Rhinolophus ferrumequinum: one gene and its partners. The protein of the gene in region 1 interacts with the protein of each later gene in a pairwise test. Links are inferred from orthologs where the notes say so. Each region holds a gene or a part of one and is shown on either strand. Other genes may lie near its edges.

Region 1 (7,257 bases):
ATTTTGGGCTTATCATCATCATCTTTATCCTCCTCTTTCTTCTCACCTTTCTCTTCCTCTGCTTCATCATCACTGATTTCTTTCTCTCGTTCCTTCTCCAACTGAAAGTACCAAAGACAATAGTTTCAGAGTACAGAGCAGCAGGGATCACAAAAAACCAGGAACCACGCAATTCTCCAGAGCAGACATCATGTGTTGACAGTTTCCAGCCCATACTCACATAAAGGGTGATGGGGTACCCTATGAACTGTGAGTGCTTCTTCACCACTTCTTTGACCCGCCTCTCCTCTATGTACTCTGTCTGGTCTTCCTTAAGATGGAGGATCACTTTGGTACCCCGGCCAATGGGCTCACCTACAAAGTCAATCACAATGGAACATTTAAAAAAAAAAAAAAAGAAACTAAATGTAGAACTGTAGTGAAAGGAAACTGCTTTACAGGTAGGACACTCAAGATGTCTATTTAAATTTCCCCTGGATTCTAAGCCAGACACTTTTACAGTTAAGCCAGCTTACCATGGTCAGCTCGTACAGTGAAGGAACCCCCGGCAGAAGACTCCCAGGCATACTGCTCATCATCATTATGCTTTGTGATCACAACCACTTTTTCTGCCACCAGGTAGGCAGAATAAAAGCCAACACCAAACTGTCCAATCATGGAGATGTCTGCACCAGCCTGCCAAAAAGTTTTAAAAAGTCAAAACAAATTTCGAAAACCACAGCAAGCCAAAGAACATTAGATAAACACGGATGGTGTGTGCCTAGCTAAAATACCACACACCTGAAGAGCCTCCATAAATGCTTTAGTACCAGACTTGGCAATGGTTCCCAGATTGTTTATGAGATCAGCTTTGGTCATGCCAATGCCAGTGTCCACCAGAGTCAGAGTACGTTCCTGGGGGTTGGGGATGATGTCAATTTTCAGCTCTTTACCACTGTCCAACTTGGAAGGGTCAGTCAGGCTCTCATAACGTATCTTGTCCAAGGCCTGGAAATACAAATTTTATTTTTACAATGCTGCTTTCTTAAAGCACAACTCTTCATCCAATAAAAAACTTCATTTTTTACTCCTCAATAGCTTCAATTCTGAATACCCTTTGAAGTTTCAAAGCCACATACAGTTAGTTACACTATCCCATCTATCCAGAGAGTAAGACAAACCTGTTTGGAACGCTAGGTTTATCCCCTTCAATAGCAGGCCCCACAAAAATGCCAAACCACCCCTCATCACTTTTCCGGATTGCTAAAAACACATCCAGCCCCGAACACCCCTTCCCCAGCACTCACATCAGAAGCGTTACTGATCAATTCCCGAAGGAAAATTTCTTTGTTCGAATAGAAAGTATTGATGATGAGAGACATAAGCTGGGCGATTTCTGCCTGGAAGGCAAAAGTCTCCACCTCCTCCTCTCCATGGTGCACTTCCTCAGGCATCTAAATAAGAAGAGTCAAGAATTACAAAAGAATGGAATGGCCCTGAATTTAAGACTCCCAAAACAAACCCCAATCACAGTGAACACTGGGAGACAGTTGGTTCAAACTGCTCTGAGTGAGGTACCACCTAGCCATTCCCCAAGAGGCTTTGCTTTCTTCAAGATTTCAGACTGCACCCTTAGTCGCAAACCATTTGGGGGCTGGGAAGCCAACACGTTCTTCAACGAAACAGAAAAGCAGGTTTTTTGGAAATCAAACTACTGTTAAGTGTTCCACGGACCAGCAGCCTCAGCATCACCGGGTTACCTTGTTAGAAATGCAGAATCTTGGCCCCCAACCCACGTATCTCAAGTTAAGAATTCCAGGAAATCCACACGCACGTTTCAATGTAGAAATCACTAACCACAGTTTTATTACCTCTTTTTGGTCCAGGTGAAGGAGAAAAACCCGGTCACTCGTTTTATGTTAATGGCAATAATGTGAAATTGCTTCCCAAGTAGGTACCTCCTACCTCGCCCGAGCACGGGATTGCTGACTCACGTGGTAGGGGAGGGTAACCCGAGATCGGTGGGATACCCGCCGGGAGGGGAGGGGGACTATTAAGACAAAGAAGCCGATAAAACAAAAGCACAGTCGTGACCCCTCGGCTCACGTGACTCAAGTGTAGGCCTAAACACAACTAAGATGGTGGCCGTGGTCTACCGGATCGACCCTCGTCACTACCGGACATGCGTCGGCCAGGGCCACGCGAAAACGGGGTGCCGCCGCGCAGCCTCCCTGCGCTCCAGCATTCGGGCACCAGGGCGGGGCGCCGGGCTCCAGAAGCTTCCAGAACAATCTCAGCTCTCGGAGAAGGGCGGGGGTTTAGGAGCCCACGAATCTTCCAGAACCCGCCTCCTCCCCTCCTCCACGCGAATACAGGAAAGATCTAGAAGGACGGTGGGCCAGTAGAGGGCCAAAGCGTTCCTTATCGCAGACCCTCACGGACTTGAGAAACGCGTCTAAATAAAACAGGTGGCACAGCCAGACCAGCACCAGGCTGTGCTGAGTCACACCGAGCGCGCACACCCACAACCCTTGCGGACCCTCTAGCGCCCCGTAGCCGCGGTCCGGAAATGGAGGGGCAAAGATGGCAGCGTCCCGGGCCGGCGCAGCCACCACGTGCAGTAGCCCACTACCCCAAGGCCACTCCGCGGCCCACCTCGGCCAAGGCTAGTCGTTGCCCGGGGGAAACTCCGCCGCCTAAGCATACAAGGCAAAACAAGCTCCATTCGAGAACCCCCTCCCACCCACCTAGAAATTGTGGCATCCCAAAGGCAGCCCAGCACAACAAAATCGGGCCTTTGGAAGGGAAAAGAGGGACGAAATACGCTCAGAGACAGAAAAGGCTGAAAGAGAAAAGTGCGGCCTTACCTTAAAGGTGAAGAGATGCAAGTACTAGGGAGAAAGGTGGACACCGACTGTGACCGGCTCACACACCGCTGAAAGCGTGCGTGGGGGTAACTCAAGAGAAGGGCTGTGTGACCCCCTAGTCGCTCTATATAGGGCGAAGTACAGCCCTCCCACGGATCCCTCCGCCTTAAAGCAGGATGTCTGTCAGCTCCGCACCTGCTGCCGCCCGCCCACCTTGACGTCATGGCCAAAATCGGGGCGGAGACAGTGAAGAGCGGGAGCAGTGGTTCTCAGTGTCTGCAAGGGGCGCACACTTTTTTATTGGCTTACGTATCCCCATCTCCGCACTTCACGGGCGTGACCCCACCAGAATTAGAGGTTGGGTGGGAATGCTTAGATGATCCAGGTGGATTTAGGGTCGAGGGTCCCACTGATTTCCCTTAAAACCTGTGGGGCAGGCCCCTCCACTGCTAACTCCTGGCCTTGAGGGACACCTAAAAAGGGGCGGATGGAGGTGGCCAATCACTCCGACCTCCGCTCCCAGTCTAGATGGACCTCCCTCTTAGAATCTGCTCTGCACATTCCTACATCCCGATAAGGGGTTTTCTCTGGGGCGGTACAGAATTCCAGGCTGAACTTCGGGCAGCCGCCGGCTCCGGCTCTCCGGTGGTTGTGGGGTGGTGGGCGGGGGGAAGGGCCAGCGTTTCGCAGCGGGGCGTGGCGCCGGCCCAGACTGGTGGAGGGACTCTTTGCGGCGGAAGGAGAGACAGCGGCAGTACTGCGACGCTTCCAGCAGTTTCCAGACCCCAATTGGCGGCCCCGCCCTCGCCCCACCCTCTTCCCTCGAGGCTCCGCCTCGCCCGCTGCGGCCTGGGCGGTGTCTCTGTGGCGCCGCGACAATTCTACCAGAGTCACTCGGGAGAGGGTGGGCTGCTCCAATCCCCTGTACTCTAGAAGGCCGCCTGCGGGACCCTCTATCCAACTTACCGGGTCCACCTAGCTTGGCACTGGGTGGGATGGAGCCCAAAGGGAGTGATTGACTGCTCCTGTCCCTCATCGATGACACAGCACCCTGCTCTGCAGGAGCTGCCTGGAGCGAGCCGAGATAGGTCGCTTCGGGAGGGACTCTCCCTCTGGCTGGGACCCAGCCTCTGTTGCTGACCAAGTGTGGAATGCAGAGACGTGTTACCTCCCTGCATACCGAGGTGTCATTAAAAGATACAGTGAATGTTTAAATTTAAAAAAATGTGTTGGGGCTGGCAGGTGCCTCAGGTGGTGGGAGCGTTGTACTCCTAATGCCCAGGTAGTCTGTTGGATTCCCACGTGGGCCAGTGAGCTGCGCCCTCTACAGCTAAGATTGTGAACAACGGCTCTCCCTGGAGCTGGGCTGCCTTGAGCAGGCATGAGCCGCTGTGAGCTGCCAACTGATGACCCCATTGCCTCAGCTGGGGGGAGCGCAAGGCTCTTAATACCAGCATGGGCCAGGAAGCTGTGTCCTACACAACTAGACTGATAAACAACGGCTTGAACTGGAAGGGGGAGAGGTGGAAAGGGGGAACCGAACAGGAAAAAAATTTATTATAGTAAAAGACACATTGCCATTGTCTTCTTCCTCCATCATGACAACGCTCTGTGTCACACATCGCTTCTGGTATACGGCAATTATTGTCAAATAAAGACGTTATGGTGTGTCCTCATCCACCTTATTCACGGGATCTGGCACTGTGTGACTTCTGGCTCTTCCCCAAAGTCAAAATGACTATGAAAGAAAAACATTTTGAATCGATTCAGAACATCGAGGCAGCCACAACAGCGCAACTAAAGACGCTCACCAAAGAGGACTTCCAGAAATGCTCCAGAAAGTGGCCAGAATCACGGGATAAGTGTGTTCAAAGCAAGGGGTATTAATGCCAATGTGTCTTTTACTGTAATAATTTTTTTTAAATTTAAACATTCACCGTAGTTTTTGATCACACCTTGTAAGCACATAGAGCTGTTTCTCAATCTGGTTTTGTTTCTTTTCACCCTCCTTCTGCAGCTACCTACACCTGGGGAGGGGAGGGTCTCCAGGGGACCTGCAGAATGGCAGGGCCTTTTGGAGACCACATGAAGACACTGGCCCATAGCGCCCACTTCAGACGTCCAGAACCAAGTTGTCCTCCTTCAGCTGTGACGCCTTATGCCCGGAGAGCTGCAGGTTGCCTTGCCTCACCCGGCTCTGCAACTTTGCACGCCCTCCAGCTAGCAAACTGTCTTTGCCTTTCTAAGGCCTTATCTTGGAAGGCTGCTGGACCCATAGCCTCTCCAGGAAAGAATGGCCACTCCCTGCTCTGTGACCTTGTGACTCACCAAAGAGGACGTCCATCAACTCCCTTCCTGACCCACTCTGTCTGTCCCTGCAATGCTGGGGAGGTGTTCCCCCAACACCACCTGAAGTCCTCTGTCGCCGGCCTTGGTGCCCAGTTTTCTTTCCTTCCTTCATATTTTCTTTGTTCGTGTGTGGAATTCCAAAGAACAAAGGACCCTGGCTTTCCTTGCCTCACATCCCAGACCTCATCACCCCTGCCACCAACACCCCAGTTTCATCTCTCCTGACCCATCTACACCCCATCATGCTGGTCTGCGAGAAGCCTGTGGCTGGGAGATGTAATAGAGTATGGGAAAAGGCATTGTGCTGCTTCCAGGAAGGCTCCAAGAGTCTCTGTCCTTGATCGAAATCTCAAACTAGGAGCATAGTCCCTTAACACACCCCCTTTCCCTCTGGGCAGAAGGGACCTAGCTAATTACAAATCTGTTTCCTAGTTCACAACGAGCATTCACAACATCTCACAGTCCTGTGAAGAGGTAAAAGTGAGTCTGCATATTCTAGGGATTGGGAAGGGAAGGCTTCAGGGACTACATCAGGGTCAGTCAGCTCAGAGCCTTTGCTACGCTAACTCCCTTGCTGCAACCCTGCTACAGAAATGGAGTGGGAAAGCTGTCTCCCCTCTCAGGACACAAGTCCAAAGCAGAGCGGCAATCACTCCTGTGAATCACTATCAGGACCAGAGACTACTCAGGTTTTCTAATGGGAAAAATCTCAAATCTTGAACCAACACAGACATTCCAACGTCTCTTCTGAAGCCTTCCAAGATGTCTTCTCCCACTCGTTGATGCTCAGGAAGACCCCACTGTGAGCCTCCCCTGGGGATGCAGAAATGCGTAAGGACAGGGAGTCTTTAGCTACTGGGGACTGCCCCAGGCCAAATGTGAATCATAGAAGTATGGGAGCAGGTCAGAGACTCCTAACTCAGCCCAGGGAAGGGGGCAGGCTTAGGGCTATGGCTAGCCAGGCCACAGTGCAAGTCTAAGAGAAAAACAAGGCACAACCCTGACAGAGGGACCATAGTCCACGAACCACTGAGGAAGGCAGGAAGAGCTGAAAGTGACTCTGCAGGCAGGAGTCAGGTTTAGAAAAGGCCCCAAATGCGATACTAAGAAGTTCTGACCTTGACTGAGGGTGAGAGAAGCCACTGGCCGCTATTAAAGATGGTTTAAACCCCCCCTCCCCCGATCTCCAGAATCCTACTCCCAGTAGTACTTGCAATGCTTGATGTTCCCTAGATATCCATTATTCCTGACCTGGCCTCAAAGACCCAACCCAACCTTTTGCCATTGGAGGGCGGCGACATGAAACAAGACAAACTATGGCCTGCAGCTAGTGAGCCTGTTGCTTGTTTTTGTATGGCCTATGGGTAAGAATGGTTTTTACATTTTTCAATGGTTGGAAAAAAAATCAAAAGATAATATGTTGGCATGTGAAAAATATATGAAATTTAAATTTGTGTCCACAAAGTTTTACTGAAACACAGCCATGCTCAGGCTCATTTGTTTTCATGTTGTCTTTGGGGCTTTCGTGGTGTAATGCCATGGTTGATAGTTCTGACAGAGACCACATAGCTTGCAAAGTCTAAAATATTTACTCTCTTACCTTTTACAGAAAAGGTGTGCAGACCCCTGATTTAGCTAACGCTAGGTGAGGTCTTGGAGGGAGCCTGGAGACTCAGGCTGGGCAGAGGCCTCCTGCCGCTGCTCAAACTGAGAGATCTCCTAGTTGGGCAGCACCACTGGCATTTGAAGGGCATGTAGGAGGCTGCTGAGGGGTGCTCAGATAAAGGGCAATGGGTGAACAAAGTACCCAGGGGGCATCAGGACATCAGGGATTGTACAGCATGGGGAATAGCTCTGGACCCTTAGCTCTCAGAACAAGCTCAGCACCTGCCAGGTGTGTTCTGTCAGTTCTGGTCCTTTCCAGTTCCATAGGGTTTACATCTCTGAATTCCATATGGAATACCCTGGACTGACATCCTCACAAAGCTATAGACTTGATGTTCAGATACTCGTACATTAGACAATTGAGCAGGTCTGCACGGCCAGCCTGGACTCTGTTCCT
Region 2 (8,015 bases), on another chromosome or scaffold:
TTTATGCAATTGCAAAATGCAAGTGCAGAAAGATGTGAGAATGAGGTATTTATTTAGGTAACTGGAGTTCCTTTCCATGGAAGGGAAAAACTCAGTGTGAGGAAGGAGGGTATATTGTGTCCTTACACAATCCTTGTGTACCAAGAGGTACACAAGTGGGTGCTTGGCTCCCTACTGTATCCAGAGCACTAATGTGTCAGCTCACAACAGCTTGCTGGCACCCAGACCCGTACAGTGATATATGGGGAAAGGACCCGTGTTGACCTTCACAAGTAACTCACCAACACCAAGGGTAAGATATCAAGGAGAGTGACAACCAAAACAGACTAAAAAAATAAGATCAGAGACATAATGGAAGGGAAGAATTGACTTATATTAAGAAGCTGCGAAGTGCTAGGCATATTGCATATGCTAATTCATTTCATGCCCACAATAACCTCTCTTTGAAGCAGATGCTCTTATCCCTATTTTACAGATGCAGAATCTGAGGCCACAAAGCCTTTCGCCCACGGCCACACAGCTGAAGGGAAGCAGCCACACTTGAATCCAGGTGTACCTTGCCATATCACTGCCCCTGCAACACAGACATCCTAGAGACACAATGTCAAATCCTGTGCTCTCCCTAGCCTTAACTGGACTCTCCTTGCCTAACTGAACTCTCCTGGATATAACTGGACTCTCCTTGTTTGGCACCTAGAGCACAGCCCTCTTCTGGTTTCCCTCCAATTCTTTAGCCATTCTTTCTCTGTCTCTATTCATCCTCTTCTACCTGTCTAAGCAATGTTTCTTGGTCCTTGCCTTTCCTCACTCTATACCCATTACCTAAGTTGTCACCCACTGCATGTGCCCATTAGCACAGGTACACTGATTTACATATCCCACCTATGGCCACTCTCTCTGACAAGGTGAAATCTCACTATTATACATAAGATATAAATATAAATTAACTAAAACTAAATAAAATTTAAAATTCAGTTCCTCACTCACACTAGTCACATTGAAAGTGCCCAATAGCCACATGTGGCTAGTAGCTACTGTATTGGGTAGTGCAAGTAGAATACTTCCATCATCACAGAAACTTCTGTTGAGCAGTGTTGCTATAGGGCTAACTTCACTTAAAGGAAATATGGAGGATAGAAAAACGTATTAGTGACACCACAAAGAAGCAAACAGACATATCTAGAACATAGGACATTCTATAGGACAACTGACCCAATTAGTCTGCAACAAGTCAATGACATTGAAAAGCAAAGGAAGGGTGAAGGGGAAACACTCTAGATGAAAAGATACTTAAGAGACCCGGCCACCAAATCTAATATGTGGACTTTGTTGGAACCCTGATTCAAAGAAACCAACTTAACTAGAATATTTGAGACTCCGAGGAAAATTTGATTATGGTTTGAATATTAGATAATACCAAGCAAGTAATTTTGATAGGTATGACCATATCCTTGTGTTTATGTAAGGCAAATAACAATATTGTTTAGAAATACACATTAAGGTATGTAGTAGAAATGATCTAATATCTAAAATTTTGTTTTCAAATACTCCAGAAAATGAATAAAAGGAATGGATAAAGCAAATGTAGCAAAATCATGATAATTGATCTGAGTGACAGATATATGGGGTTTACCATAATTCTATGCGTTTGTGTATTTAAAAATATTCATAATAACAACTTAAAAATTTTTAACACATACTTAAGTCATAAGAGTAATCATATCTTTATGGGGACCTCCTTCTGTCCTATAATAACCCATCAAGAGGATTGCTGGTGGCATCACTACGAAATTCCCTTCAATAGAAGTCTTACATACATTTAAAGAGCAAAATATGGTGGATCTATTCATCTGAAATGCAGATGACGTAAGAAAATTATTATGGTACATAATACTTGACAAGTAATTCATTGGGAAACCCACTTAAGGAAAAAAGAAGCACTGTATTACAAGAATAGTGGTCTCTCTGCATGAATGTCCAAATAGGAGCTGGCAATTTGAGTAGTGTTTCTTTAAGTATATATACTTCTCGAGAATTTTCTCCAAGTAGCAGGAATGCTTCCAAGGAAGGAATTAAATTGCTACTGAACAGCTTTTAACAATCTTTAAGTCATTTGGGATCTGGGCCCACACACGGAATGTATTTCACAAACTTTATTTGAGTTCACGTGTCAAAGTCATATGTTACTCTTTGGCTTCTGCTTTGACTCACTGAGATTTGCAGGCTCCATACTTACTTAGCAATACCACACAAACCCTTCCAAAAGGGCTGCCCTTGGGCATTCTGGACTATATAGTCCATATATTTCCATTTTAAGGTAATTTCTATTCAGGAAAAACTAATTTGCTCTTTTAAGTTTCAGCTGGTTAGTTCTATGTCCATGGGAGTACTAGGCCAATTATGACCCAAAGCAATTTCCAAGGAATTATATTTATGCAATATAAGAAAGTAGAAAATAGTATGATTTAGTTCCAAGGCTTGTAAAAAGTGTCCACTGTGCCTGGGCACAGGATTTAGAAATAGCTAAAGTCAGCAATAGCTAAGATGAGGCTACTTCTGATATTATTAATATCCACCCTTTCTTCTCATACCAAAATATACCCATTTCCATCCTGGTTTTACCTTTTTCTGTCTGTATTTAATCCTACACCTTTCCTTTTATCCTTGTTTCCATGCATTAGTTCCCTATTTATCTATTCGGCATGTATTTATTGAGTACCTACTATGTGCAAGGTACCGTTCTGGACAATGGAGGTATACAAGGGTGAACAAGAAACAATCTATGCTCTTGTAGACCTTACATTCTAGTGCAGGAAGAAATACAATAAATAAGTGAACATAAATAATAATAGTATGGCAAATGCTAGGAAGGAAATATCCAGGGGGTGAGATAGGTTACAGGTTGGAGAAGGAATAAGAACCTAATCTAGACCCAATGGGCAGGTCAGCCTCTCTAATGGTATAACATTTGATCTAAGATCTAAAAAGAAAAGCATGACCACTAGCACGACTTTTAAAAGAACTAAGAGAAAAGAGAGCCAGACAAAGGGAGCAACGAATGTAAAGGGCCATGGGTCAGGAAAGAAATTGGTATGTTTGAGGAACTGAAAGGAGGCTAATGAGCATACTAAGAGAGACCTGGGAAGGCAGTAGAGGAGGTTGAGATGACACCCAAGAGTTAGGCTGGCACTAGGTATCACAAGAACTTAAACAATTATAGCAGACGATGTGATTTGAGTACCTAATATCACAATAAGGTCTTCTTCCTTGCTAATGGAACCCCAGTTTTGCTTGGATGGCAATGCATCTAGATCCAGGGAATGAATCATAATTACCTAAGCCTGTTCTGGCCGATGATATATACGGTAACATCACTGGAAATTTCTGAGAAATATTTTAAAGTAATTTAAAGTAACTTGTAATAGACGTCACTTTAATATAATGTAATAGACGTCACTTTAAATGAAAGCTACTAGTGAATAAAACTGGTTTTGCCTCCTCTCCTTTGTGCTTTAGCTGCTGTCCTATTTTCTTCTGTGGCTTTCACTCATAAGCTCAAAAGGTTTAGGCACCGTGCTTTTCAACTTTTATTTGTAATTAATTATTAAGGTATAACATACATGCATTGGAAAATATTCAAACAGCATAATACAGGAAAGGTACGAATGGAAAGTAAAGATGCTCAGAACCTTTCCTCATAGCCTTACCCACCAGGGGTAATCATTAACATTTCTTGTCTACTCCCCAGGAGGTTTCCATATACATGTGCATATACGTGTATACACACACACGCGCGCGCACGTTTTTACACAAATTGGATCATTCTCTTTCTCCATAAATATGCACACACACAAAATTAATTTTGCAACTTTTTTTTTAACTCAACACATTTTGGAGATATTTCTGTATCAGCACATTTATATCTATTTTACTCTTTTTAAAGACTGATTAACATCCCACTGTATTAATAAACCATAATTCATTTAAGTTTCTCTATTGACGGGCAATTAGTTTCATTTTTTTTGTTGGTTTTTTGCCACAAAAAAATGCTGCAGTAAACATCTTTGTTGATAAATCATTGCATAATGGTGCAAAAATAACTGCTGCATAATTTCCTGGTAGTGAAACTGCTGAATCAAAGCACCTAATTCTCTGATACTCAAAGTGCCCCTCCCAAAAAGTTACACAAACGACATTGTCTCCAACCGCATTTCCTCACATTTTGTCAACACTCAGTATTGAATAACTTCAAAAGTCTGCCAATCCATTTCCTCACATCTTGTCAACACTCAGTACTGAATAACTTCAAAAGTCTGCCAAATAAGACTGAAAAAATGGCGTCTTGTTTTTAGGACTCTTTGAAGACAGCAATACCTGATTGTTAAACGCGCACGATTTGAAGTCAGATTCCCTTGGCTAATCATAGTTCTTCCCCTTAGTATGTGTGACCTTGGCATGTTGGGTCTATTTCTTCTTCTACAAAGGGGGACAGAGAACAAATATTTCGGATTAAACGAGATATGTAGAACTATATGAAGCCCTCCCTGTACGTTCGCTATTGGTACTCGTCTTAATTTTTTAAATTGGTGCTTGGCCCAATTCTTCATCTTTGGCGTCCTCCTCTTAGCCAAGTTCTGTAGTGTTCTTGTTGCTTGTAACTCGAAATGACAGGGAAGTTGGCTTTGCTTTTCAAAATTCTCCCTTCTTCCCTCCCAACCCCGCTTCAGAAATACTGGCTTACAGTATCAATGCACAGCAATGAGTTGCAGTTTTTAAACAAGTGGACACTTGGTCTGAGCACCACCACTACTATTTACAGCGTAGGGAACACTAGACAACAAGTATTCAATACTACACGACCCGTAGTGCCGTTAGGGTAAGTCGGCAGCGTTGAAAGCCTTCAGAGAACGGAGTTTTAAAAGACTTCCAAACGCACCCGCTACAGGGAGGCCCCGGGACACACCTCACAAGCCCCCGCCCTCCAAGCCGGAAGTGACGTCCTGAGTGGAGTCCGTCTTTTTCCGCCGTCCGCCGGTGGCGCGGCCCAGGCTAGTGTGGAGCGTGCGTCGGCGTCGCGGCCAGCAGAGGAATTCTGGGTAACGGCCCCGGCCCGCTGGGGCGGCTGGCTCCGCGCAGCTGGATTCACTGACGCCAAGTCTGTTGGCAGTGGGGGTTATAGAGCCTGGGGCAGCCGGACATGGAGCAGCCATGGCCGCCGCCAGGACCTTGGAACCTCCCTCGGACAGAGGGTGAGGCAGAGGAAGAGAATGACTTGGACGTGTCCCCCAGTTCTCCCCGCTGCCCACAACTGCCGGGCGGCGGCGCCCAGGTGAGAGGGGGCCCGCTTTCTGCTAGGGGAAGGAGAAATGCCGTTGCCAGGCCCCTAGAGTCCGGTCTCTGCGACCCTCTTCTGTGCCCTGTTCTGAGCCTCCACTTCAGCCGTGGGGATCGGGGGCCTGATGCCATCCTACCGCTATTGTAGCATCTTCAAAGGACTTCGAAGAGAGGCTGGCCATGTATTTCCAACCTCCACCTCCTCGCACACCTTTTCACCGTGGCCAATTCCATCTCACCCTTGGAAGACGTTTCCCCACCCCCATCCTGACAGATTGGGGGCGGCTCATGTTATTAACATTGACCCTTTGTCCTCTTGTGCGTGCTTTTATCCGAGCGTTTTATTCTGTTGAAGACTCTAATACTTGTGCATAGTTGATAGGAGCAGTGAATGGTTGTATTTCAACATTCACCGAGCTCCTGACTTAAAAAGATTTCTCATCCAATTACACTGACTTTTGACATCTAAGTAAATTCTTTAAACCTCGCTTTTGATGCTGGCGTAAATCCTCCTATTCGTGTGACCATTTTACCCCTAACGGTTGTTTTAGTTTTGCTTCACTTCATTCTCCAGTAAAAACATCTACCCACACGTTTGCCTTTTCCCTCAGACTTCTTCCTAAGATTCCTGATGCTACTCATGGTTTTCACACCAGCATTCATTCCTCTGAAACTTATCTACATGTGATACATCATTTAAGGATTTTTTGGATCCTATCTTAGGGATTGCTTATGTCCTGGTTATTTTCACCTTGTCTTGGTTATTCTCCTAACCTGAGTGTGTTTGGAAGTATATTTCAGGATCACAGACTAAACACCAATATGTTAAATGAAACGGATTCTGAGTGTCTGCTTTCAAGGTTTCATGCAAAATGGGGTTCCTAAGAGCTTAACTGAATGAATACAGTTTTTCTCTAAACTCATCTTGCTAGCTGTTAATGAAAATGAGCGATTTAAATCATTTGCCAGTAAGTGTAGGGTCATCGATTGAATGCCCAACTCATGGGGGTTGGCTTCACACAGAAAATGCTGTTTCATAACCACAGACTGTACTTTGGCCAGCCAGTCACTGGGAAAGTGCAAGACATTTTTTAGGAGGACAGAGTGAGAGTTGATATGTCAGTAGTCACCCACTAATAATGGATCACTAGTGTCATCTTTATATACAAAATATGTTATATAACCACATAATGAATGTGTTACAGAGAGAACGAACAGCAGCTGCCATTGTTATTTTGAAGGCATATGGAGAGGATAGAAGAATTTCAGTGCATTGTGGTTGAATTACAAAAATAGCCTAAGAAACTCAATTTTAAAAATACCTGTATTAAGTTTTACTTGTACACTTGGAATTACAAGCTTATTTAGCTGAAAGGAATTTTAGAAGTGAAGAGGCTTATCTCCTTCATTAAAAGTGATTTCCCTGAGACCATACAGCTAGTGAGTGGCAAAGTTGAAATTAGATCCCTAGTTTTGGCTCCTAGTACAGTGTTTTTTCCAACGTACTGCACTGTCCATCCTGTGATGTAACGTAAACCCTTATTTGGCTGAAACTACTTTTGAATGATGTTAAAACTTGTGATTTCTAATCCTAAATCCATTCATATGTTTATAACCTTATTTGTCTTACTGGCTTTAGGACTTAAGTTTTGGATTGAAATATTTGGAAATAATCAAATGTTTAATTCAATTCATAAACATTTTATAATCTTTATAAAAACAGCTTTGGTTTAATTTTACCAAATATGTGGACTCTAGACATCTTAACGTCATATGTGATGTATAGATCTGAGATCCAATTAATGTAAAGGCAGTATGGAATTTAGAGGTCAGTTTGAAAGGGTTTTTTTTTGTGTGTGTTTTTTAATGTAAAGTTACATTAGTAGATCTTAATGCTAACAATTCCTTTTTCAAATTTATGTTCATTAAATTGATGTTTAATACCCCTTTGAAACCTCAATATATTCACAGATAAAATATGACTTTATTTAATCATCTCAATACATGTTGGATAGTTTGTTCAAGTGGCCAAATGTTGTCTGTGGAGAAGAATTTAAACAAATCATTTTTAGAATTTGGAGATAAGATTTCTGTGTTTGATTTGAGAAATGATTTGAGAATTTGCTCCCACATGATTCGAAAATGCAAGATCCATTTGTCCATATCTCCTTTCTTAGTATATCTTTGTCTTTTCTTACAATATAAATTTTATAGCTTCATTTTTCTCCTTTTCCTGGCCCCTTAAGCATAGCTAGTCTACACTTTTTCTGGATTCTAAGTTAGCAAAAAACAATAAATACTTTACTTGGTTAGTTAGGGCCATGTGGTGCTTGGGCTCCAAACCTGCTAAATGAGTAACTAAAACATCTGAGTAACAACAATGGCCACGTTTGCCCCAGTAGAAATCTAAGTTTCCCTGCAGAAGACTTAGATGAGAAGTATGGATGGGCCTTGCATGCAGCTTGGCGCAGAGTTCTTGACCACCACTAGTCTGTTCCATGAAGTAGAGAGGCATTTATTCATCTAAGATTTATTGAATTCTAGCCCCAAAGAAGCTGAGCGTTGAGTGACAACACCACTATAGAAGTATGCATAACTTGGGTGAAGAGGGAAGGGATAAGGGAAAATTTAAGGATGTGATGACAGAATCTAGAAGGAAGATAGGAGTTTAATGTGGCGGG
Region 3 (6,918 bases), on another chromosome or scaffold:
TACATCTGTGGCTCACTGGCACTGAAATATACATTTCTATTAGTTACTGCTGGTCTAGCTGGACTAATAGTTCCAGGCAGTACAAGCCACTCCCCCTAGTCAGCAGTTTAGTCCACCCAGGGAGACTCAACCTGTCTTGCTTCACAAAGTCTTAGATGGCCCAGGGAATAAGGGAACTTTAAACAATGCCTAGTCCCAACAATCACCTGATGCCCAAATCTGCCTACAAAATCCACCCAATAGTTATTTATCACACATTCAAATCCTTCCAATGACAATAAACTCACCAACTCCCAAAGCAGCCCTTTTTATCTTCGGACAACAGTTGAGAGTTGGACACTTATTCCTTATACTAATGAAGATCTACCTCTCCAGAGGGCTGATCTTAGCCCTGGTTTACCCCTCTGAGCCATTTAAAAAAGGCCCAAGAACAGGAAGAAAACCATTTGCAGATCACTCACAATGTACTGTGGAAATTTCAGTTTGCTGTAGCATTTACATTTAACCGACACAGCAAAAGAAGTAGGTATTGTTATCTCCATTTCATAATAGTGCCTATACGACACACAGAGATAAAGTGACCTGCCTAGGGTACCAATTAGGAAATGGCAGATTTCAACCCAGAGCTGGCTGGCTTCTAAAACACCTTCATTTACCATTGCTTCGGCCTCTCTCCCCAGCCATCCAGCCTGTTAGCAGCCACAGGCTCAATCCAGAAGCAATCTTGCCCTGGCCAGATAAGGGTGCCCTTACCTGTCTCAGCAGCACCAAGGATGTCCAGTTTGTCACGGATGGCAGGTGCCAAGGTCAGAGCTTGGATTGGTGTGGGTGCAGAGAAGCCCAGAAAGCTGAGTGCTCGGAGAACTGGCTTGGGTACAAACAGGTCCTTCCAAGCTGATATGTCTGCCTTGTGGTCATGCACTTCAGGTATCCACGTCTTTGCTTTCTTCGGCACGTTTGGAGTACTACCCTGAGAAGGTTCTGATTTTTTTTTCCCTTGCTTTTTCTTCTTTTTTGGAATAGCCTGGGCTGGGCTTTCTGATGCCATCTCCCCTATCTCTGGATCAGAACAAACTGTACCATCTCCCAGGGGCTCTGGCTCAGCATCTTTGACCTGAAAGTCTTTCTGGGCATTGGTTCCTTCAGTTTCCACATTTTTACTCTTTTTCAACTTTATCTTTTTCTTTGAGGAGCTAGAATCTCCTTCCTCCTCTCCTTCTGAAACAGCTTGTGCCTTTCTCTTCTTGGGCTCCTCCTTTGAGAAGAGACTGGAGGAATTCTTGGCAGGAGAGACCAACTGGTAATCTGTCAGTTCCTCAAAGCACACCAGGTCATCCATCTGTCCATCTGCAAACATATTTGGGTCAATCTTCACCTGCTTCCATTTTCCCACAACCTTAATTCCCTTTGTCTGAAATTTGCCATAGCTTGGTGCCTTTGACCTTGATTTGGTGTCCTTCAACTTCATGGTTGCTGAAAAGGAGAGAGGTGTTCGATTAGACTGGCAACTGAAAAGCATTGGATTCTGACGCAACAAGTATTTTCTAAGCAGCCTACAGGATATCAGACCCTGCAAAGATGGCTCTGAACACTGATGCTCCCAGCTAGAGCTGATGCTCCCAGCTAGAGAAGATCAAAAAAGGAAAGAAATACACCCACAAATCAGATAGCTTGGCCTCGAACAGAATAGAGAGCAAAGACTTATGAGCTAGATGGGGTTTGAATTCCATATCCAATACTTAACTGCTTGTGTTCCCTTGGGAAACCCTGCTTAATCCTCTTTGAACCTCAGTGTTCTCATCTCTTTGAGAGAAGGAGGGGCCTAATAATACCTAAGTCACAAAATGTTTTAGAAAAATAAATAAAATTATGGAAAGCATGGAGGATAAAGGCTGCGATACCCAAGCCACATGGAAGGCAGAGTGAGAATTTGGGTTTTTTTTTGTTTTTTTTTTCAGGGGTGGGCGTTGAGGGCGGCTGAGGAGGCCAGCTTTATCCAAAGTGAACAGAGCTTTCTCCTCCTCAAGTCTTGCCCCAAGAACATCTAAATGCCTGCGCCACCATTCTGGCCTTTGCCAAATGGCTTAAAGCCCATCCATCCCGTACAGCTTTTTCATTACATTGTAAGTGATTTAAAAACCATTTCAGCAGTAGCACAGTTCGAGTGGAACTGGATCCTTGTTCTCCCCTTTCAGAAAGGTTAAGAAAAATAACAGACCCTGTGAGAAAGACAAAGGTGAACGAACCGTCGTTCAAAGCCGGCCCATCACTCGCCAACTCTGAGTCTGTGGCGAATGTACTGATTTCTCTGCGCCTGTGTCCTCGTCTGTAAAACGCAGGTGATGAGGCTCTGTCTCCGGGCACGCTTACGCTAATACAAAAAGGTGACGCACGTCAAAAACCGCTCAGCATGGCGCCTCGCAGGCTGAGCACGCCGGCACGCAGGAAGGTTCACCCAGCGAACCTCACCGCCCCAAGTACCAACGACTGGAGTTCAGTGATGAGAGGCACTGGGGATGGTCACGCACATGGGCGGGACGCGGAGGGCGACCTGCAGAGCGCGACCTGCAGAGCAAGCGGGGCCCCTGCTCGCAGCGTCCAGCCCTGTGACTGGCCCTAGCGCCTCCGCTCACGCATAAACAGGCGCACGGAGCGGGAAAGACGAGGCCTCCGAGCCCCGAGACCCACAGAAGGGGACCCGGCGCAGGGTCGACAGGCTGCTTGACCGGGCCGGCAGCCGCCTCTCTGGACTTGAGAACCCAGTGAGCTGAAGAGGCCCGACATGGGCGCCGAGGAGCCCGCCCCCAGCTCCTTTCGGGTACCGGCCCCAGGCCCCCGCTCCAGCACCGGTACTCACAGTGAGCACACGCCGCTACGGCTCCCACAGACGCCGGCAGGACAACCGCCTTACAAAACGCCACAGCTCTTCCTCGGCTGCAGCGCCGACCGCAGTTCCGGGGCGGGGCTTATACTCGCGCACGCGGGCGCGGTGCGGCAGGATGTCCCGCCCCCACTCTAGACGCCGCCACCTGATTCGCTGCCGCTCGACCGCGGACTTGTGCAGTGCGGTAGTGCACCGCCCTGGGGGCAGTAAATCTGGCTTCGCCGGCGATGGCCCTCCCTGGATTACGCAGCAGGGGGAAGGCTCTGTGCTACATCCAGAAGGGCTCTACGCTAGTTCACGCACGGAAACGTAAGCATTCTTGTGTTCTTGGTCTAGTTTTAGTGCAGTGACTGTCGACGTGTTAAACCTACTGTATGCCTGGGGCCTTGCAAAATTTCAGCATTTAATTTACAACCCAACCAGCCTATGTTGGAGGTGCCATTTTCCGCAATTTTTTCATGCCTCTCCTATTGCTCAATGATGGTTAGGGTAGGTCCGCCTGACTTTAAAGCCCAGGCTTTAATCACCAAGCTAAACTGGCTGCTTTGTTACATGCAGAGAAATTAGCTTTACAATAGATAATCACCTTTTCATGTGGGTGTCGCGGGACCATCTGGGGAACCTTTCTCATAGACTGCTTGGTGACCTTGGAAAGTCCTAAAGGACAATGGGGGAATTCACCAAGTGCAGATCTAGTGAGCCTCCCCACCAGCTTGGAGCCACCATGGGACAGAGCTTAACACATTTCTTGGGGCAACTTGACAGTGTGTCCCCAAGAGTCTGGGTAGCATAGAGCCTGTGCCCAAGTGGTGCCTGAAGAAATCTGATAACGGGAACGGAGCAGTCCTCAATGGGAGAGTGAGAAGGAAGGGCCGCATGACCCCCCTCATGGCAGGTTAAATGTTCCTGTCTCCTCTGGGCCAGTTACACACCTTGGAGGGGGAGCCCTGGTCATTCATTAACCTTTTGCACTGACAGTTGGGCTGTTCTAAAGGGATTAACCCTGTGGCTTGGACAATGGGAAACAGAGGGATAGATGACTATGAATAAGCCTTTGTGGGATCACGATACGTGGAAAGACATTTGGGTCCTTACTGTTTTCCATGTCTTGGCTCATAAAGCACTGACACTGCCTGGCAATCAGGAAGCTGATGCCCTAGCTCAGAGACGAGCGCTAGCAACTAACCCTTCAGTAAATATAGCACATTGAATATATAGAGTGGCCATTGCATTGCCTGGGTGGGGGGCACATTGCCAGGGTTGCCAGATTGCCCTTGAAATACAGTGACTTGGTTAATGCAGTAGCAGCACGTCCTCTGTGTTCTAAACAACTCCCAAGGCAACTACCAAAGGAGTCTGCGGCCATCCACCAGAATTCCCAACCAATGCAAAATTAGCAAATTGATTATATTAGCTCTCTCCCTGTGGGTGAGGGTTCTAAATATGCCTTGGTTTGTGTGGACATCTCCTCTGACTTAACCCAAGCTTTCTCCTGTTGCCATGCAAACCAGGCGGCCACCATTAGAGGATTAGAGAAACTGAGTATTATATATGGTGCATTGGGATGTGTTGAGATTAGATTATCCTGTAGACCAGCCCACACTCCCCCAATCCTCACATTTGCAAGGCAAAGGTTAGGTCTACCAGCCTAGATTAAGAATGATTCATTTGTCTCATTTGCCACGTGGGTGGGACGTCATCCAGGGTGGAACTATATATGCCTGCTGGAGTCATCAGGAGCCATACTACACACAGGATTTCCAAAACTGCAATTACCTCAAGGTAGGCAGGGGCCCGGGAAATGGGGAAGGGAGGGAGCACCAGGACTCCACTCATAGCATCCCTCTTTGCTGCCATTCAGAGCTGCTGTCACTGTGACTAGAGGTGAGTGTGCTGGGAAGGGGTTTGAGCCCACATTTACCCCGCGACTTTGGGAGCAACCGGGCTTGTCCCAACCCAGGATTTTGTCAAGCCCTAAGACTTAGGCTGGGTATGGGGCAATAGTCAGGGGACAGAGGTGACATATTAGAGATGAATAGAATCCTGGAGATCAGGGAGCCAAAGTCCTTAACTGAAAAAGCTGCAGTCTGTGCAGATTTGGGGGGGGGGGTGCTGGGAGTGGCCCACAGACTGCTATAGGACAGAGGGGCCAGGGCTCAGGGCAATGGAGAGGTGTCCCCATCCATACCACAATCCATCACAAATCAGGCACAGCTCTTCTGGTTTTCACACACCCTTTCTGGGAAAAATAGTGGTAACTCTAGGCTGTGTACCTAGTGTGCTCACACTGCCTCTGAGATGTCAGCTAAAGCCATAGAGAATGAAGGACTTGCTGCTGATGCCCTCCTGCAGGAGTTTCAGTCAGATGGTGAGTGCTCTCAGGGAAGCTCTGGAAGGTAAGGTGGCCCAGGGCCTGGGGGCCATGGCCCTAGGCAGAGGAGGTCTGGGTTCTAGCCTGGAGCTGCTACTAAGGTGCATTGTATCTGAGGAAGTCTCTTCCATCTTGGGCCTCAGCCTACCCCTTGGTGAAGTGAGGGACCTGCCCGCTCTCAGTTGGTGGTCAGGTCTCCCTCTCTCTGTTTTGTACCTGGGTTCATCTCCAAATGTTCCTATTACCTCAGCACTGCTGTCACTGATGTCCCATTCCCACATCGGAGTTCTCGCGAGCATCAGGAAATGTCAGAAGGTGCTTTGTGGGGCCTCTGGGCCTCTGCCCTCCTCGGGGCCCGGGGGCCTCGACCTCTGGTCTCACAGCTACCCGCCCCCTCTCTGTGCCCCCACCCCGCTTCTTTTCCAGAGGAAGATGAATCCCCCCAGTCATCCTCTGCTGGTTCTACTCCTGGGAGGCCACCACAGGGGCCCCCTCCGGGGCCAGATGGACATGGCTCTGACTCCACAGACCCACCACCCAAAGATGGAGGCAGGAATTTCTCCCGCACTGCAGGTAACTGGTCCCTGGGCACCAGTCCACCAGACGTCACCTCACCCTCACTGCTCAGCTCAGTCTTCTAAGTTGTCAGCATTCACGTACCAGTCCCCGATGGACCCTCTACTACACCCACATTGTCAGAAGAGGGGCGCGGTGTACACGGGAGATGACGTACATGAAGCTCTAGAGTCAGAGGGACTACACTTCAGGCCCTGGCTCTGCTGCTGACTTGCTGGGTAACCCAGAACCAGTCATGAGCCCTCTCTGGGCCTTGATCGGTTTGTTCCAAAGTGCAGGGATAGGGGTATGTCACTCTCCGAGGTCCCCCAGTGCCAGGTCACATCAATTAAGTGGTACAGAGCCCAGTCACACTGGCCTTAGGCTCCTGGGCAGCTAGCAGGCTCATGCTCAGGCCCCGCTCTTTGCCCGTTCAAGTTCCCTGTCACTGCCCTGACCTGTTGGCCCACAGCACCCAAGGCCTGAGTGAGTTTCGTTTCTCCAGTCCTGTTCCTCCTTGATGCCCCAGGGCCTGGTTGCTCATTTACTCTGATGATAAGCCCTTACGGAGCAGTCTCGTCTCTAGGGTGGGGCCAGCCCAGGAACGGGGCAGGAAAAGGTGCACTCTATTTTTTTTTTAATTGTGACAAAATAACATTTACCAACTTGACCACTTAGAAGTGTACAGTCCTGTAGTGTTAGGAGGTATATTTGCCTTATTGTGCGACCAACCTCCAGAACTCTTCATCTCACAGAAACGAACTCTACACATTAAACAAGACCTCTCCATTCCGTCCTCCCCCACCCAGCCCCTGGCAACCGCCATTCTACTTTCTGTCTCTATGAATTTGACTCCACTGGGGACCTCTTATAAGTGGTGTTGACATAAGAAACGTCCAAACCTGTAGAGACTTTTTATAAGAGTTTGTTTGAGTCAAACCGACGACATATGCTAGGGAGCAAAATCTCAAATGCTCTAGAGCAGGGGTGTCCAAACTGCGGCCCGCGGGCCAACTGCAGCCCGCAATCCATTTTTAATTGGCCCCCAGCAAATTCCAAAAATATATTGAGTTTGCTTAAATAAACCAGGTGAGGCAATACGTACTTC
Region 4 (6,891 bases), on another chromosome or scaffold:
TTAACTCTTATGAAAATGGGCTTATTACAGTTCGCAGCATGGAGTATTATGTCTAAAAAAATACCAGATAATAGACACACTTACTCCCTGAGGGAACCTTGAACTTAGGAAAAACAAGTCAGCTCCACACCTGCATAATTTTCTTATATGGCTACTCTGCTCAACCTTCATGCCTACTTAGCTTTCAATTGTCTACAACCTCTGATTGCTGGTGTTGCCTTAAAATGATTAATTCCTGGTACTTAAGGAAATCTCCCTACCCCTGTATTAATAACCAATATGGTTTCCTTAGTTAGTAACCAGGTGTTGCGTTACATAGATAATATGCTAGAGAATGGAAAGTGTCAAGTATTTTCATGGTACAATAAGTAAACCCATGAATTAGAATTAAGCTATCAATTAAGGGTAGTAATGGAATTAAGGGCTGGAAAAAAGTAGACATGAGTATGTAGAGGGCTATGAAGTTGAGAGAGGGGAACCAAAGCAGAGAACAGAGTATTTTTAAATACCAAATTTACATATAGCCAGAGACATAAAACACATAACGTGTAACACAGCAAGAGGCACAATAATAAGTCAGTTTTGGCAGAATGGCAGCAGCAGTGAGTCAGGTCTTAACCATACAATTATTATAGTATGAACATCAAAAATTCACTGCTTTCAAGAGTAAATAACAAGCAGATGGACATTTTCCTCTCTGCTCTTTATATAAAGTTTACCAGCAGTTCAGCTCAAAGTAATATTTTAAGGGTAAGAAGCTACAACGTTATAGTTGTAGTGGTTAAGAGCCAAGGGCTTTTAACAGTGGGTCTGACCCTGGCTCAAATTTTGCCTCTGTCTCTTGGTAGCTGTTTCAGTTTCCTCCTATGCTTACTGGATTAAATAAAATACTGTTTGTGAAGTGGTACTTTTTCCAGAGTAACAGTTTAACTATATACAAGTTTCCAATCATGTTTCCTTTAAACTCATTTAGCTGTGTTTCAAACTAAAATGTCCTATCAGCTTAGAAGGGAGTCTCGTTATTTTAGTCAACACGTAAGGTCCATCCTCTCCCATTGTATAAAACTTTCTCTTAACCAAGTCCACAGTTTGCCATTAACTCTTGTCTTCTACTCCCTCCCTATCTCCATTTGCTTAACTTTCCATTCAGTCAACCGACTTCCTTGGAGTATTTATTCTAAGTCTCTAAAATGACTCCATTTGCTGAAGCAAATAAAGTTTCGGCTACCTTACTGGCGCTCCCAGCCGCGTTTGGTAGCTGATCACACACAATCCCTGAGAATGTCCACTCCTGACTTTCCTGTCTCCTCTCCTCTCTTTCCTAAGTACTGTATCATTTCACATGCAGAGCCAACTTCCAAAATGTGGCTTTATCACCTCTTAATTTTACGCTGGTACATAACACCCTTACAAATAAACATATTGTCCGGTACAACAGAGCATCAACCTTTTGCCTTTATTAGAATACTGTGCAGACACTAAGGCAACTTACTTGTTACTTGGACTACCAATAGCAAAGGGCTTTAAAATCCTGCATTCCTCGATTATGTCACTCACTGAAATCTCACTATTTTCCCAGTGAATAACTTCATATTAATATAAAATTGTCAATGACAGTAACTTGAGTATTGTATAAAGACTGGATTTATCTTTTCCTCAGAATCCTGCCAATGGTCTTACCATTTTAAATGTCACCAATTCACCTGTGCACTAAGGTAAATATCTCAGACATCTCAAAGGTGAAAAGGACTTTAAAAGGCATCGAATTTAATCTCTTTCACAATGAAGACCAATGTTGCTACCATGCTGAACTCGGCTTCTCTAATATGCATACGTCATAGGGCTGTAAAGATTAAAATGAAATAATGTAATAAAGTGATAGACTGGCACATAGAAAACACGACAAATGCTGCTACTTCATCCCTTTCACAAATCGCAATCGAAGTTCATTGGTCATTTTCTATTTTTCACCGGGTCTAGTCACTACCTGTCACTTTACATCATTAACTTGACACCTTGGTCCAGTGGAGATAATTCAGTTATCCTGTAGATGGCATGGTATTAAAATTGGGCGGCCGTAACAAAAATACCCACCACAAATACCGCTACTAAGTAAGTAAAGGAGAACCCATGTATCCCCCCCCGGGGCGGGGATATCAAAACTTCACAGCGTCAAGATATAGGACAATTTTCCTAACCAAGTACACCTTTTTCCTTTTGACAGTAAGTTTGTAAAAGTGGGTCTACTGAACACGCCGACAGAAGGCTTTCAGACCGACTTTTATACGAATACAACGAGGCCGAACTTAACATGCTAGGGTAACCCGCCCGCTGTCCAACCCTCCCACCTGTCTGTCCGTCTGTCTGTCCGTCCGTCCGTCCGTCCGTCCCACACTCACTCTCATTCACAGCAAATCAACCTCCGAGCGAGACCCGTCGCCCCGGGATGCCTTCTGCTTCCCCAAAGAGACCGCGTGGGGATACGGAGGTGCTCCATCCCAGGCGAATTGCTGGGTGAGAGAACCGCTGGGAAACACGTGTGGCCCCGGGGAGCGCGGCTCAGCGGGTTCCGGCGGCGGCAGACACCGTTACGGGCGCCGGCCCCGGGGCCCCGGGGCCCCGCGCACCAAGGAGGCGGCGGGCGGCTCCCAGGGCAGCCGAGGGCGGCCGGGGGGAGCCTGACCCGGGGCAGAGCGGCGACGGCTCGCGGGAGGACCCCGGGACCCCGTCTGGCCCAAGGGCGTCCCCCGATAGGCGGCGGGGAGGGGAGGGAGGGCTGGCGGCGCTTTTCTCTTACCGTCGGCATTGACCTCGGGATCGAAGCGCTGGCCGCAGCCCCGGTTGTAGCACAGCAGGGCCATGTCTTTCCCCACCGGTACCAGTCCGGCCCAAAAGCCGGCAACCGCAAGACGCTGCGTTGCAACCACCAGTCCGAAGGCTGGGGCGGCTGCCGGCTTCCGGAAAGGACCGCTTTCGCTTCAGGAACCTTCGCGAATTTTCCGGTCGCGCAGGCGCAGAGGTGAGGGGCAGAGACGGAGGCAGAGGCAGGAGGCGGGGCTCCGGCGGGGTCCTGTGGGTCTGACGCCCGCGGCCGGCGGCCGGGGCCGGAGGTGGAGCGCCGCTCTTCGTAGTGAGAAACCTTAAGGGCAGGAAGTGAAGGTAGCCGAGGCGTGGCCTGCTGTCCAGAGTCCTTCGCCCCTCGTTGGCTGTGGGTCTCTCGCGAAGCAAGATGCTGCTGTCGCGGCCCCGCGTCCGAGCATGCCTCTTCCTTTGGAGCCGGCTTACGCAGCCTTGGCAATGTTTGTCCCCTAGCTGCTGGAGAGTTTCAGTGCGGAATCCTGCAGTTTTCCCGCATCCTCTGCGTAGAACGTGGTTGCTTAGTAAAGGATGAGAGGAGTGTTGGACGACTCTCCTGTGTGAGTTTGTCTCCACTGTCCTGATTCTGAAGCCCTGGAGAAATGAAGGCACTGGAGGCAATTTTAACAACGAATTGAGGTCAAGTCACTGTGAAAATACAAAGCATTTAGAGGTCAGAATATATAAAAAACGTACTGATCAAACACAGTGCTAGAAATGGTCGCTATTGCTTTAAGACCTTGGGGTAATTGTTGCTGTTTCCTATTAGCTTCCATTTAATTAATTTATCGATACTTAATTTTCTAATCATGGAACCTTACTAAAGGTTTCACTAAATGCACTGTAAAAAGTATAACACTAACAGGCACACACAACACTAGCTCCAACTTGTATACTTCCCAAACTTGGGGCACTCGAAATAAAAGCAAATGCTTTTAGATAAGTATACAGAACAACCTTAAAATACTCACTATCAGTAGTTTCTATGTAGAAATAGAAAGTTACACGATGTTTCCAGTAATCCCAACCAAGTCTGTTAGAGATTGGCTCACAATCCTTCAACTCCAATAAAAAAGCCTTCTCATTTTTCCATATTCCCCTCTTTTCTTTATATTTAGAAGTGTTAATTTTTTATGTAGTAATCCCAACATAGATATATACAATGTTGTATCGCCTTCCTTTAACCTAACATGAGTATTTTTTTTATTTTGTTTTATAATCACGAATGATGAAGTAGTATTCTGTTGAATAACTGCACTATAACCATTCTTCTTTAAACCTCACCAATTTTATTGTACATATATATGCTTATTTATTGTATGTTGTTTTCTTATTTTAGGTTTTCCCCTCACGATAATTACTGAGAAGTGGCAGTACTAGAGTAAACAGCATAAGCCTTTTAAAATAATTTTCAAGATTTTAAAGATATATATTGCCAATTGTTTCCAAAAGATGGTACAAATTTGCAATTTTACCAGCTGTGAATGCGGGGAGTAGACCATAGAAATTAATTTTACACAGTTAGAAATGGAGAGATGGAGAAGCTTAGAACGTTTTGATTATGGCTAAATCCATTGTCTGGTATCCTAGCATCACTGCAACATTACTAGGATTATTAGCAAATGGTTTTAATGTTTCTTGTCATTCTTTTCAACTATAGCTTTTTAAAAATCAGAAAATAATAAATGTTTATAGTAGATAATTTGAAAATGTAGAAATATATTAAGAACAAAATCCACAATGATTCCACCACCCAGCAATAAGTATTGAATCACTAAAATAACTCTTTGATAAATTCATTTCCATTGTTTCCTCTCCCCACCCCAGGCATTTATTGGACTATCAGGTACCAGGAATACCATGCTCTGTTTAAGAAACTTGGTGGTGGTAACATACATAATGTATATAGCCTTTACATTCAATTCCTGACAGCTCACCCCCAACACACACAAACACATGTACTGTTACATATCAGTATTTTGAGATTATTCATGTTATAAAAGCAGTGTTATAGTTAAGAGTGGAGTTTTGGAATCACACCAGGATTCAAATCCCAGATCTGCAATATAGAGCTAAAATACTTTAATCATCTCAGAACATCCCTTGGCTTCAATTATCTCTTGTGTAAAATGTAAATAATAATTTTGTATAGAGCATGTAAATATTGCTAGCATTAAAAGTATTTAAATAACATGTAAAGCTCTTACTGCATTGGCTTGCCCATGGTAGAAGCTCAATAAATGAAAACGATTTTTTATATAAAATGTTCTAAGGATATAGTCTGACTGAATTGTATTCAATCCTATTGCTACAAATACCAATATTTTCTTAGACAATAATGGGCATGTCTCTGTTTTTGCCATCGAAGTGGTTTCTAATATTTGTCTTTTATAAATCATAATATGATAAAAAAGACGTCAAGAACTATATGCAAGATGTTCAGAATAGCATCATTTATAAAAGTCAAAAACTGGAAATAATCCAAATATGAATTAACTATAAAAAGGTATGTCCAAATCGTGGTATAGCCATACCATGTAATACGATACAAAAAAGGGAATGAATGAACTACAAATAAAATGAAATGGATGAATTTCAAAAACATAATGTTGAATAAAAAAGCCAAAGGGGTAAAAGATAACTTTAGTGTAATCCATTTATGTACGTTTCAGAAACAAGCATAAACAAGTTATTATGTTTAAGAATGCCTACTAACATGAGAAAGCCATAATGAAAACTAGAGAACTTATTATCATGACTATCAGGATAATAGTTCATTTTAGGGAGCTGGGAGGAAAGGGGAATGTTTCTGAGGTACTGGTATAGTTCATTTCTTTAGGTGGGGGATGCTCACTTTGAAATGATTCATAAAGCAATGCATTTATTTTATGTACCTTTCCGTCTTATTATTCCCATATCACAGGAATCTGAGGACTAGATACTTAAGTAGTTGACATTCCCAGTAGTAATGTAGCTTTTAGATATAGCATACCTTTTCATACAAAACATTAACAGAATAATCAAATTAGGTGCAGATGGTGGTAGATTGGTTGACTAGACAAATAACTTGAAACTCTAGCTTATTTGCAGGTAGGGGCCTTTGGAAGCTGGATGGAAGTTGGTAAACAATCAGCAAATTACCATCGTCCACCTATTGTCCCAAGCCGGAGACAAGGCATAGCCAGCAATGAGCAGTCATCTGGCATCTTCTTTCCTGATCAGTTGTGAGTCTTGAATCCCATGTAGGATTAGTTATAGACCTGACCTGGCCACCTATCTACATCAGGAAGTCCAGTCTCAGAGCTTAAAAAGTCATCTCAATTATTTTGATTAGTCATGTCATATTGGACATATACCTTTACCTCCATTTTTTTCCAGATCCCACTAAAATTGTGGTGAAGGAAATGTATACCAGGGGTGCCAAAAATATGTATACACGACTTGTATTCATCTTTTGTTACTGGTATATATTGAGTATTGCAATTTTAATACACTTTTTCCTTTCTTAAAATGTGTATACATTATTTTTTTTTTGGCACCCTCTGTATATAGCCCCACAAGGACAAAGAAATTTGAATAGGGTACTGCAATAGACAGATTATTTTGGCAAGTTTAGTTTGGTTTAATTTTCTTTATTTTGGTATTTAGGAATGTTTGTGTTTTTGTTCAAGTGGTTTCCTGTATACTAATACTTTCATATAATTACCTCTTTCTTTTTCTTACTTAGGCTTTCCTATTCATTTTGTCAGATATAATTCACTTTGACTTTTAGTTGTTTCCTGTAAAGTAGTCAATGTTAATCTCATTTTCTTTCTTCCTTCCATGTCCTCTCATTTTATTTATGTTTTTTTCACTTTGTCAGAGAATGTAGTAGCATTTATGTACTAGTCTTCCACACTGATGCCGCCCTTTATTATTTATTACTTAAATATATTTATTATATACATTATATGTTAAAATATAAATGTGTATTCATCAAATTTATTTATTTATAACATATGCATTAAAAATATATTCATTGCCTACCACTAGTCA

Evidence for each region. The genes of interacting proteins can lie anywhere in the genome.
Region 2: the proteins of HSP90AB1 (region 1) and CDC37L1 interact in binary tests that used the Homo sapiens proteins (3 or more experiments, as listed by UniProt). The link is inferred for Rhinolophus ferrumequinum from reciprocal best matches to the Homo sapiens genes HSP90AB1 and CDC37L1.
Region 3: the proteins of HSP90AB1 (region 1) and DDX24 interact in a two-hybrid assay, tested with the Homo sapiens proteins (2 studies listed by BioGRID and IntAct, with this or other methods). The link is inferred for Rhinolophus ferrumequinum from reciprocal best matches to the Homo sapiens genes HSP90AB1 and DDX24.
Region 4: the proteins of HSP90AB1 (region 1) and CHORDC1 interact in binary tests that used the Homo sapiens proteins (3 or more experiments, as listed by UniProt). The link is inferred for Rhinolophus ferrumequinum from reciprocal best matches to the Homo sapiens genes HSP90AB1 and CHORDC1.

Annotation. Positions count from the first base shown.
Region 1 is NC_046286.1:13,470,839-13,478,095, reverse strand, and holds the start of HSP90AB1 (heat shock protein HSP 90-beta), read right to left. Parts: upstream 3,007-7,257; 5' UTR 2,847-3,006; intron 1,987-2,846; exon of another isoform or gene 1,851-1,986; intron 1,434-1,850; coding exon 1,287-1,433; intron 988-1,286; coding exon 781-987; intron 676-780; coding exon 516-675; intron 355-515; coding exon 221-354; intron 102-220; coding exon 1-101. UniProt on the Homo sapiens protein: Molecular chaperone that promotes the maturation, structural maintenance and proper regulation of specific target proteins involved for instance in cell cycle control and signal transduction. Undergoes a functional cycle linked to its ATPase activity.
Region 2 is NC_046295.1:31,683,245-31,691,259, reverse strand, and holds the start of CDC37L1 (hsp90 co-chaperone Cdc37-like 1), read left to right. Parts: upstream 1-5,015; 5' UTR 5,016-5,197; coding exon 5,198-5,329; intron 5,330-8,015. UniProt on the Homo sapiens protein: Co-chaperone that binds to numerous proteins and promotes their interaction with Hsp70 and Hsp90.
Region 3 is NC_046289.1:9,015,236-9,022,153, reverse strand, and holds the start of DDX24 (ATP-dependent RNA helicase DDX24), read right to left. Parts: upstream 3,001-6,918; 5' UTR 2,858-3,000; intron 1,474-2,857; 5' UTR 1,469-1,473; coding exon 754-1,468; intron 1-753. Other genes in the region: interferon alpha-inducible protein 27-like protein 2, read left to right, coding at 3,112-3,193, 4,589-4,666, 5,682-5,828. UniProt on the Homo sapiens protein: ATP-dependent RNA helicase that plays a role in various aspects of RNA metabolism including pre-mRNA splicing and is thereby involved in different biological processes such as cell cycle regulation or innate immunity.
Region 4 is NC_046294.1:61,980,547-61,987,437, forward strand, and holds the start of CHORDC1 (cysteine and histidine-rich domain-containing protein 1), read right to left. Parts: upstream 3,001-6,891; 5' UTR 2,862-3,000; coding exon 2,798-2,861; intron 1-2,797. UniProt on the Homo sapiens protein: Regulates centrosome duplication, probably by inhibiting the kinase activity of ROCK2. Proposed to act as co-chaperone for HSP90. May play a role in the regulation of NOD1 via a HSP90 chaperone complex. In vitro, has intrinsic chaperone activity.